Schizosaccharomyces pombe: one gene and its partners. Each later gene encodes a partner of the first gene's protein in a complex. Each region holds a gene or a part of one and is shown in the gene's direction. Other genes may lie near its edges.

What was found.
Region 2: mrpl32 (region 1) and mhr1 share a complex: the UniProt entries of both Schizosaccharomyces pombe proteins name them as parts of the mitochondrial large ribosomal subunit.
Region 3: mrpl32 (region 1) and mrpl51 share a complex: the UniProt entries of both Schizosaccharomyces pombe proteins name them as parts of the mitochondrial large ribosomal subunit.

Annotation. Positions count from the first base shown.
Region 1 is NC_003423.3:3,906,320-3,909,390, forward strand, and holds mrpl32 (mitochondrial 54S ribosomal protein bL32m), read left to right. Parts: upstream 1-1,532; 5' UTR 1,533-1,818; coding exon 1,819-2,130; 3' UTR 2,131-2,412; downstream 2,413-3,071. Other genes in the region: PAK-like kinase Shk1, read left to right, coding at 1-739; SPOM_SPBC1604.12 (uncharacterized protein), read right to left, coding at 2,574-3,071. UniProt on the Schizosaccharomyces pombe protein: Component of the mitochondrial ribosome (mitoribosome), a dedicated translation machinery responsible for the synthesis of mitochondrial genome-encoded proteins, including at least some of the essential transmembrane subunits of the mitochondrial respiratory chain.
Region 2 is NC_003423.3:1,799,581-1,803,339, reverse strand, and holds mhr1 (mitochondrial 54S ribosomal protein mL67 ), read left to right. Parts: upstream 1-2,049; 5' UTR 2,050-2,081; coding exon 2,082-2,609; 3' UTR 2,610-3,127; downstream 3,128-3,759. Other genes in the region: SPOM_SPBC18H10.18C (uncharacterized protein), read left to right, coding at 211-601, 647-984; vacuolar membrane cation-chloride cotransporter Vhc1, read right to left, coding at 3,128-3,759. UniProt on the Schizosaccharomyces pombe protein: Component of the mitochondrial ribosome (mitoribosome), a dedicated translation machinery responsible for the synthesis of mitochondrial genome-encoded proteins, including at least some of the essential transmembrane subunits of the mitochondrial respiratory chain.
Region 3 is NC_003423.3:1,697,821-1,701,512, forward strand, and holds mrpl51 (mitochondrial 54S ribosomal protein mL43), read left to right. Parts: upstream 1-2,112; 5' UTR 2,113-2,261; coding exon 2,262-2,327; exon of another isoform or gene 2,328-2,418; coding exon 2,419-2,581; exon of another isoform or gene 2,582-2,677; coding exon 2,678-2,886; 3' UTR 2,887-3,052; downstream 3,053-3,692. Other genes in the region: protein Mdm34, read right to left, coding at 1-1,273; cytosolic thiouridylase subunit Ctu2, read right to left, coding at 3,053-3,692. UniProt on the Schizosaccharomyces pombe protein: Component of the mitochondrial ribosome (mitoribosome), a dedicated translation machinery responsible for the synthesis of mitochondrial genome-encoded proteins, including at least some of the essential transmembrane subunits of the mitochondrial respiratory chain.

The DNA of each region.
Region 1 (3,071 bases):
CATCAAGAAAATGAACATTAATCAACAGCCAAAAAAGGAATTTATTGTCAATGAAATACTCGTGATGAAGTCACATCATCACAAAAACATTGTCAATTTTATTGACACTTTCTTCTATAAATCAGAGTTGTGGATGGTAATGGAATACATGCGCGGTGGCAGTCTTACTGAAGTGGTTACCAATAACACTCTTTCAGAAGGTCAGATAGCTGCAATATGTAAGGAAACGTTGGAAGGCTTACAGCATCTCCATGAAAATGGCATTGTTCACCGTGACATAAAATCAGACAATATCCTTCTCTCACTTCAAGGAGATATTAAACTTACCGATTTTGGGTTTTGTGCTCAGATCGACAGTAACATGACGAAACGAACGACGATGGTTGGTACTCCATATTGGATGGCTCCAGAAGTCGTTACTAGAAAGGAATATGGTTTCAAAGTTGATGTCTGGAGTCTTGGTATTATGGCTATAGAGATGGTAGAGGGAGAGCCCCCGTATTTAAACGAAAATCCTTTACGTGCTCTATATTTAATTGCTACTATTGGTACTCCAAAGATTAGTCGGCCAGAATTGTTAAGTTCTGTTTTCCATGATTTTCTTTCTAAATCTTTAACTGTTAATCCTAAGCAACGCCCTAGCTCCGGTGAGCTTTTAAGGCATCCGTTTCTTAAGCAAGCCGTTCCAGTTTCATCCCTTATCCCTTTGATAAAATCCATACATCATTCTGGTAAATAGGCTAACTTGTCAAAAAAGTTTTTGAGTAAACATCTGCTGTTAGAAGTTTCGGAATATCCTCCAACGTTTGCTTAAAAACTGTTTCTTCTCACATTGTTTATTTATCGTTAATATGCTTTTGCAGTTCGTTAGAATATATGTACCTGAGTTTATTTTTTTGCCTCCTCCACTAAAATCCATATCCGCAGGTTGGGCAGATTCAAACAGAGTACATTTTAACTACTTTTTTGCTTTACTTTAATTCCTTTTTCTAGTGCATACTTTACTTATCTGTTCCTTTTTTTTTGTTTTTTTCTTACTGCCAAGAATGATCTCAGTGACACTTGGATAATTTTTATAATAAATGAGACAATGCTTCTTTCTAAAAGTCTCAACTTTTTAATATTCGCAATGCATTATAAAAAAACTAAAAGGAAGACTAACTTATCAAAGTATTCAAAATGTAAGTACATGATTCTGAGATTGATCTTGAATCAGTCAAAATAGGTTTGAATCTTTTAAAGCGATGTTTCAATTTCAATTATGTGGAATCTCAAAGTGAAACGCCTGCTGGAATATTTCACAAAATTTTTGATCTACTAAAATTAGTACAAATACGTAGAAAACTTCAAATAATTAAATGGACTATGATTGTAGCGTAGTTCATGAGCTTAAGAAAATTGTCAACATTAAACTGCGAGACTTAATAAAGAGAGAGCGCACTTAGCATTTAAATGTCAAGCCAAAGCAATAGTGAATTTGAGGAGTCTCGTTATACATGGGTTATTACTACTCAACAGCAGACTATAGATTTAGGCAGCAGCCTACTTCTTAAGCATTGTCTCGAAACCAAAGTAACTGGTCTTTAAGTTTCCTTTTGACGACTTCCAATTATTTCAAACTCTTTTCTCGGAGATCGTAAATCTATCTGTGATTGGGTCTACTGGTTTTAGAAAACGGCTATATGCATCGTTTTATAACTATATAATTAAGATCAAGTTCTGCAGTAACTAAGTTCGCCTTACCTTGAGAAAACTTTTAAAATATTGTTCAGCATTACTGTACCCAACAATATTCTACTGTTCGCGCTTGGGTCGAAAATGGCTCTTTTAAGAGGAAATTCTTTGGCAATTAGCCAAAAAATGTTATCAGTTTTTCAAGCTAGCGCCCTTCCTCATATTTCTTTGAGGATATTTATTTCCCCCCCTTCAATAGCTAATATATGGAATTCCATTTTGCTTGCTGTTCCAAAGAAAAAAACTTCTTATACTAAGAAACGAAGTCGCTTACTGTCCGGAAAAGCATTAAAAGACAAAACAGTTAATCGTTGTCCTATTTGCGGGTCTTTTAAATTGGCACATCATTTATGTTCTCACTGTTTTAGAAATATTCGTCGAGAATTTAACGAATGAAGGGCATTAAGCATTTCTTCACTGATTTAGTGATGCTGCAAATCTTTATTTTAAGAAAAAAAATGGACTTAACATTAAATATAAGGTTGTTTCATGTAATAGTATTGCAGTTAGTGAATTGAATCTGCTCGCACTACTTAAATTTTTTCAGTATTACGATTAATGAACTACACCCTTTTTAAAAATACGCGTATAACAAAGAATTTTTTTACTTAATTTTATTTGTTGACTATGTACGGTTGAGTATAAATATCATATATTATGCAAAAGAATTTAGAGTGAAAAAATAACAAAAAAGCTGAATATATCTCTTAGCTTTCATCCTTTTTCAATACACGTTTATGTTGTAAGCGTGTAAATAATATTAAATGCATCGAAAACACAAAAGAGACTATAATCTCATGTAAAGTATACATAAACGATAACAATAAGAAAAAACCAAGCTAGTTTTTCGCCCTCCATAAACCGGAATCAATTCGTTCTCGGCGTTGAGGATCATAACGATTAGCGTTCATTGAATTACGAAAAGAGCGACGAGCCACTTGAATTGTCTTGCTACCTGGAAGACAAACAGTTACACGCAGTGGATGAGTAGGATGAATTCGAAGGGGTTGTTTGGAAGATGAGCGGTATATAGGAACCTTCTCCTCTAATGGTTTCATTTCCTCTAATTTTAATGATTTAGTAGGAAGAAACCGCTCCGGGTTCACTTTAGGCAAATGTAAATTCAAAATAACATCGCCCTTCGATCGCTGAATTCGAACAGAATTTGCATGACTAAGTATCAATCTCGATGATTTTAAAGAGCTCGTTTCCGAGGATACTACATAACTACTACTTCTGGTATCACGACCTTTGGAGTGGCTGTAAGAAGAGGATGAAGAAACAGGTTGACCGAGAGCATTAGAATTGCCAATGCGTGAAACTCCTCCATGTTCGTT
Region 2 (3,759 bases), 2.1 Mb from region 1:
TTGATATTGACAGCACAATGATTCAATTTCATTCCTTAACAAGAGCCATCTCTTTTTGTTGGATGCTTAGAACGCGTGGATTTTTAGGCTATTCAAGTGTTTGGTTTTGATCTATTTATCTATTTTATATTTTAATTTCGCATTTTATTTTGCAATGTTCAAGTTGGAACTCAAACGTATATAATCACTATTGGTAAAAGGCTCTTCAAAATGCCAGACGAAAAGTTACCTCAATACAATGAAGTTTGGAATGATTTGGAGAAGGGTTGTTTACATTCTTGTCCTTCATATTCAGTCAATAATCATGTAAACAATCCAATTGTCAAACAAAACTCAACATTAACACAACCATCGTTACGAAAAAAAAATACAATGGCTGCACCTGCTAGATTAAGAAAGCGTTCGGAAAATGTGCGACTTACACAAGCTAGATATGCGATATTTCATATCTTCCTTCCTTTCATTCTTACTTTATTGCTTTATCATAATTTTTATAATTATTTCGATCAGGCATTGGCGGATCTTAATTCTGTGGTTAAATATGTTATTGAAACTATAGTGTTAATATTTACATACGTGATGACAGTGATTATTGTTTATTGTAAGTTTTTGAGATGATTTGAATTCATGGCTAACGATTTTCTAGTTTCATTTTCGTTAATTAAATTAGCGTTTGAAGAAGCTTATGTTTATGCACCATCTGTAGCTAAAGCGAATGAAGGTCTAGCTAAACATGTAGCTAAAACGATTGCAGGCCTAGTTAAATATGTAGCTAAAGCAATTCAAGGTTTGGCTCATATTATTTTATCCTTACTGTTGTTTATTCTCGGGCTCGAAGTAATAGAACAAGATGAAGAGACTGGCGACGTTGAAATGTCGTCTATGCGAGGCCAAGCAATTACCACAGAGCCAGCAAGTGACAACACAATGGCTGAGGGAACCGATTGCAACACTTCTAAAGATGTAGAATCGGGCAGCAGCTAAAAGTCATGGCTAGAAAAAAAAATCAAGGGGCTGCCAACCAGCTGCGAGTGTCTTTTTTATTTCATTACTAATTTTCTTACTTTCCTGCAGAAGCTCCTTTTTTCCCCTTTATTTCTATTTCTTGTATTATTACCTTATACGCATTGTCACTTAATCATTTCCGATGACAGTCATCACTCTTTTTCCATACATACATTTTTGTCTCTGTTATAGAGTAAACACGATGTGTTTCTGTGGTGCTAGGAAAAGTCATTTAACTAATGAATCTGGTTGTCAATTATAAATTAATCATCCTCTTTATTGTTTTACCAAATTGATATACAATCCTTAATTATGACTTTGTAAGATTTGCGAATTAAAAAATTGAACAAGTAAGGCATTACTCAAAAGACGCAAAGTAGTGATTTAACCTTAGTTTCTGTTTAATGCATAAAATGAGGATTCCATATATCATTTTCAAGTGTTCGGAGCTTTAAAATACAGTATATACAGGAAATATAAGTTCAAACTTGTTTCTAAAACAAATAAAAATGAAAAATCAATTTGGTGTAGAGCGAAAACCTATTTTAAATAATGCGATTTCCCAATTCCTGGTCAGTAGCAATTTCTTTACAAAAAGAATTAAAAAATTATTCAATTTGTATTATATGAAATCTTTCGTATTCAAAATCTACCAACATTCAGCCCAAGCGAAAAGTAATATTTTTTGCTATGTCCATAGGTAACAATATAATTTATTTCAGAGAACACCCATTGAAATTGCTGCTTATATTAACTGTGTAACATAATATATTAGGTCACAGAGAGATTCATTGCACTTTAAGTATCGTTAAGCAGATACCGAAATACGTGAGCGACACTTTAAATAGATATTAAACTGCGTAGCTGACCAGTATTCAAATTTTCCGTCACTCACCGTATCATTAAAACATTTACTGTTTTTGGCTGCTCAACGCGCAATGCTGCCTAACATCTGTGCTAGCAAACGATATGTGTTTATTGGGCACAACGTTTATACGCGGACGCGCTATTAACAAACTTCGCATCTCTTACAAGCATATATGTAAACAGCCAATCTGTACTCGTAAAAGGAAAGAATGCTTGAAAAGAACAAGTATCTCTATATATTTAGGCATATTCAAACGAATCAGGTACTTTTATCTCAAGGAAATGTTTTAAAAAAGACTGCGTTGTTTCAACTTCCCTACCCACTTCAAAAGCCAGTCGCTCCAAATGGTATGCGACCCGCTAAGCTCCGTAAAGACCATTGGGTTCCTTTACTAAAAGTCGAATTTCCTAATGAATCAATGTTTCAATCTGTTTTTATGCAACTGTTAAACTATCGAAAATATCGTTCTGTTCAACCACTGACTAGTGACCTTTTGAAATTGCCTATACCCGTTCGTAGAAGAAAAATAATGCGACAAGAGGTTCCTAACACGATTGCGGACTTGGCAGATATTTTAAATAAAGAAAAATTTCCCGAAAATTCCGTTCGTTTGCAACTGAGTGATAAATCCGATAGTGAATATGCAGATTGGCCCCCTAGTGTGCAGATTGATTCAGAGGAAATTAAACTCTCGCGAGGTTTCCGTGAAAAAACAACCGTAGACGAAGCTAGATGAAGCATAATATCATTACTTCTCTCACTTTCTTCCTTCAAAAACACCCCTCATCCATTTTTAGGCTTTCTTAAAGGGCATTATATGAAGTATAAGCTAACACATATTCATATTAGCTCAATCTTTTTTACTTAATGATAAAGTCCTTTTTACTAAAGACGGTTACGAATTCTTCCCAGTGTATCCAGTGTATTGCACTGGACAGCTTCCTTAGCTTATCATTGTACTTCAATGCGAGAGTATTGGCTAGATACTCAAGACAAGATAAATTTAATACAAATCGACACCAAATACTCGTATCTTTATTATTTTACCATTTTGAAGTTTTCGAGCTCCTATGAAATATATGCAAGATTAACTCATCACTTTATTGCCTCGTTTTTTTTTTGTTTAAAGTTTGGTCCAGAATAAAAAAAAAATATTAGCATCTAAAATAGAAATCATGGACCAAATATTTAAATAGTTATAACAATGCCAAAAGAAAAGACTTTATAAACCAAAGACATAAATACCATAAATCGTTAAAGAGCGGTAGTTATAGTTAAACTCTTAGAGTGGATTAATGCACAAGGAGGTAATCCTTCCATAAATATTAATAAGTCATCAACATATTCCTCGCTTTTTCGAAAGCTCTTATGAGTGTCGGCCAAAGGTGCTGGTAAAACAGTAAACAATACAGAAGTATTTTTAGTATGTTTCAGCACGATTTCATTCATAATTATGTATTGAGATCTCGAGGATAAATCGTTAAACGTCAACTTCTCTTTAGAATAGTCCCTTCCTATTTTTTTCTTTGGTGCTAGTCTATCAGATGAACTATCTTCTCGGACCACGTTGGGCATCAGAGATGACTCAATAGTACTGTCAGAATAAGTTCTTCTATTTTCTTGTTTTGGTGATAAAGAACGGTTTCCGAAAGAAGATTCAGTCTCAAACGACTTTACTGAATGCATATGTGGCCCAAGGCGGAAACTCAATGGCACACTTAAAGGTGGAGCACTCTTATCAAAGCTGGCAGATCTAAAGTTATAACCAGACATACGACGTGGAAAACGAATAGGTCCTAAGGAATCTACAGTATTTCCTCTTCTTTTCTTTTCTTCCTGCCACCACGAGTCATCTTTCAGTAAGTTTTCAAGCTCGGAAGACTTGC
Region 3 (3,692 bases), 2.2 Mb from region 1:
CAACCTCGGACGGAATCTTTTGCTGCAGGTTTTCCAACCAGTTGTTAGTGATGGTATAATTCCTTTTAAGTTTATTAATGTTGGTAATAATCTTTGTAGGAGTATCAGGTATGGAATCAAACGCAGATTCAGTAAGGTCAACGTTTTTAGAACCAACAAAAGTTTCGGAAGAGGAAGCAGACTTGTTTGATGCTTCATGAATTTTAATTACATGTCTTTTCTTGACACGTTCTCGGCGGCGGAATTGTGAGGTACCATGACTACGACCAAAAATGGATGGCCTAGCCGTGGTGTCATTTGAACCAAGATAGTCTGATGCGGAATATTGGGTTGCAGGGGAAGATACAGCAGAAATATCATCAGATTGAGTAGTCAATTGCTGTATAATCGTATCGGGAGGAGTTGACCGGTATATGGACATAGGTATTGAAGGAGAAGAAATAGGAAGTAGTGCTTTTCTGGATAAGGCTAAAGAAGCAATAGATCGAATGTTAGGATGCGTTTGGACATCCAATGGGCCCATTTTAATTGGGAGATGAGTGTCGACTTTCGTAGATTCATGATAGTCGGGAGGACCATCTAGCAAATCTGGGTTATAATTAGCCAGAGAAGTATGAGATTGGTTAGGAGAAGTGAAAGGAATTTTTTGAAAAGATAGATTAGAGTCGGACTTGGCAAACCAAATTCTTGACATTTTGTATATGATGGAAGGAAGTTCTTCCTGAAACAGGGAGACCAGTTGCACCTCGATTTCTCTTTGTAAAAAGCGAGCAATAGCAGGAATAGAATCAAAGGAGGAAGATACACGCACGGATTCTAAAGGATCGTTTCGAAATACCACAGTGATACCTTTCTGCTTTGAAAACACCAAAACAACTATTCCGTTAAGCTTTAAGTCGGAAAGTCGTAAAAACATAGGCACAGTAAGCGGTGCACGAGATGCTAACATTGTATTACGAGAACTAAAACTGGGAACATTACTTTTTTGCACCGATAATGGATTGGCACGAATTTTTGTTTGCAAGACCAAAGAAGCATCACCCGAATAATGGAGATTAAAGAGGCCCTGAAAGCGGTCTGGCGCTAAGTCGCCAACCTCTAAAATTTCCAGTTGAGGAGGTTGGGGACCCAAATCCAACTCTTTTACAGTGATGTGGTCTGCAATCATCGAGTGTTTAGTGCCTTTGTTTAAAGCAGCCGTAAGCAAAGTGGTTGCTCGCTCATAGAATGACTCAGAGAACTGATCACTCCATCCCTTTACACGAAACGACATTCTGTTGATTTTCCTAAGTTATCTACATCAACTATGAAAAATGTCAAATTTTTTTGTAAGGAACCGTCTAGTATAGACTAAGTAACTAACGCTTTAGATCAATTTCTTTACAAAATTTTTATTAAATTCGGATAGGGAAACGACAACTTCCATACAGTGGCGGACAGTAAATAAACATCGATAGGCTGGCTGATGCACTAGTGCGGCATACTGAACCTTGATATAGCCAAGATAAGGATAGGGTCGATCGTACTGTATATGAACGAAGGTGTATTAGAATGCATTAAATAAATTATTACAAAATGCACAGTAGTTTCTTATGCTATACTGGTGAAATATATTTTCTTGCTATTCTGTTCATTTAGGAGGGATAAATAAAGCTTCATGAAATGAAATTCCTTAGATATTCAAATCAGAAATTCAGCCATTATTTTAGAAATGATATTAGTGGTGTTGCTTACTGTATTAATTTGCTATGTTGACAAATATCTAGGCTGAAGAACTTCGAGTACAAGAACCGATACAACTTTGCTCTTTCAGAAAAGGATATCTCTGCATAAATGAATGATATTAAATCAAAATTGTTCGTTTTAAAAAACCTATATTATGTTTGTTCGCAGTCCATGTACTACGTTAAAAAATCACTGTAAACTTTCTAGATATCATTATTTAGAGAAGAGCAGAAAGGTAAAGTATTGCAAAGTGTGTAACCAGAAACTGTAGGTAGACAGTAAACTTGATTTTGTTGCTAAAATTTTTTATAAAACTAATTGCATACTAAGTTTAACATTCTAAATCAATTGGAACAAGTATTGAAGTTTAGAGCAATTTGGGATTTGCGAATTTCCACACACCCCTTTACGTCTCCATACCGACTTTTCATTATTTCTGCAAGGATTTGCTCACCCAACTTTTTTCAATATAGCATATTAAGAATTCTGGTTTTTAAAAGACGGTATCCCCTTTTTTACGGCCTTTTACTCACTTAATGATGATTGAAATCATTCCTAAAATTTCAATTCCCAAAAATGGACTAGGTTCATTTACCCGCCCAGTAAGATTTAATCAGCTTTCTTTTTTTTTAAAAAAAAAAAAAAAAAAAAGATTGGCCTTCATTAACTTCGTATTACTAATTTTCTTTTTAGTGCCGTCGAATTGAGTTTTCGTATTGTAATTGGGGTGGAAGCTCAAAAGGCATGAAAGAATTTTTATCCACAAAGCTTGAGTCTTTGGCCAAAGAATCTCAAGATGTGGAATTTCATGTTACAAACCGCCAAGGCAAGCATCCATTAATCCGAGCTTATTACAGTACGTCCAAGACTTTTCTCTTATTATGGTGATCCTCTTAGTTTTATAAATATGAACTCCTTAAAATAGTGTTTTTTACTAATGCTACGATAATAGATACTGGTCGAGAGAAGGTCATTTGTACAAGGAAAATGTCAGCGTCTTCAATATTTCAAAAAGCAATTCTATGCAGAGATAGTGATGGTTTGAAACCTCGCCTCATAAAATATCCTGTTGAGTCAACAAACCCATCCGTTCGTGGTATTTGGAGTCCATTTTCCGATCAAGCAAAGCCCCATGAAATTTATAAGAAAAAGTCCCCTTAGATTCCTCTACAAACTACTTATTATTTCATACAAAAAAAAGAAAATTCAATTTAATCATTTTCGTTATGTTATTATGTCTAACCTTTTTGTCCGAAATACAAAACCCTATCCAAATTTATCTTCCCATAAATACTCTAGTTAACCAGGTAGTAAGTGTACAGATGTATCAAATCCCTTCTTTTTCAATATCAGGAATATGCAACGTCCCTTTTAAGCTTTTTAAAGAAACAGAACAGCCATAGCAAACATTTTGATTCTTAATACCTTCAACGGAATCCGGATGTTCAACCGTAGTTTTTTGTAACCAAGTCTCAGCATCTTCTTGCATTGGTAGATTACAGATGGTACATATGGCTTCTGTAGAAGGCACATGCAATTTTGAGCTCATTTTGACAACGGTGCTAACCAGACTTGGGAATGTATCATTCAGCGATGAGAAATATGATTCTGTAACGCCATGAATAGTATTAGGACGTGCTTCAATTAAGCTATCGCAGAAAGCTAATCCCTTAATGTTCATATACGACTTGAGGTCTGAAGACAAAACTTCACGTAGGGGACGTAGTAGGAAAGTATCGCAATTTGGAAGCTTAGAGCAGACAGAAGTGTACCATGGTATCGCAAAACCTCGACCCTCTGCCACAAGTTCAAGAACTCTTGCAGCAATTGTAGTACCGCTATCACCAAAAACAATGGTATCACAATTTGCCTTCCGGGCATAGGATACTAAAAGCTTATCCCGAATTCGGTAAAGTAAATCTTGACGCGAGGCTAACGAACTAATGACTTCTGGATTAAATTTCTCA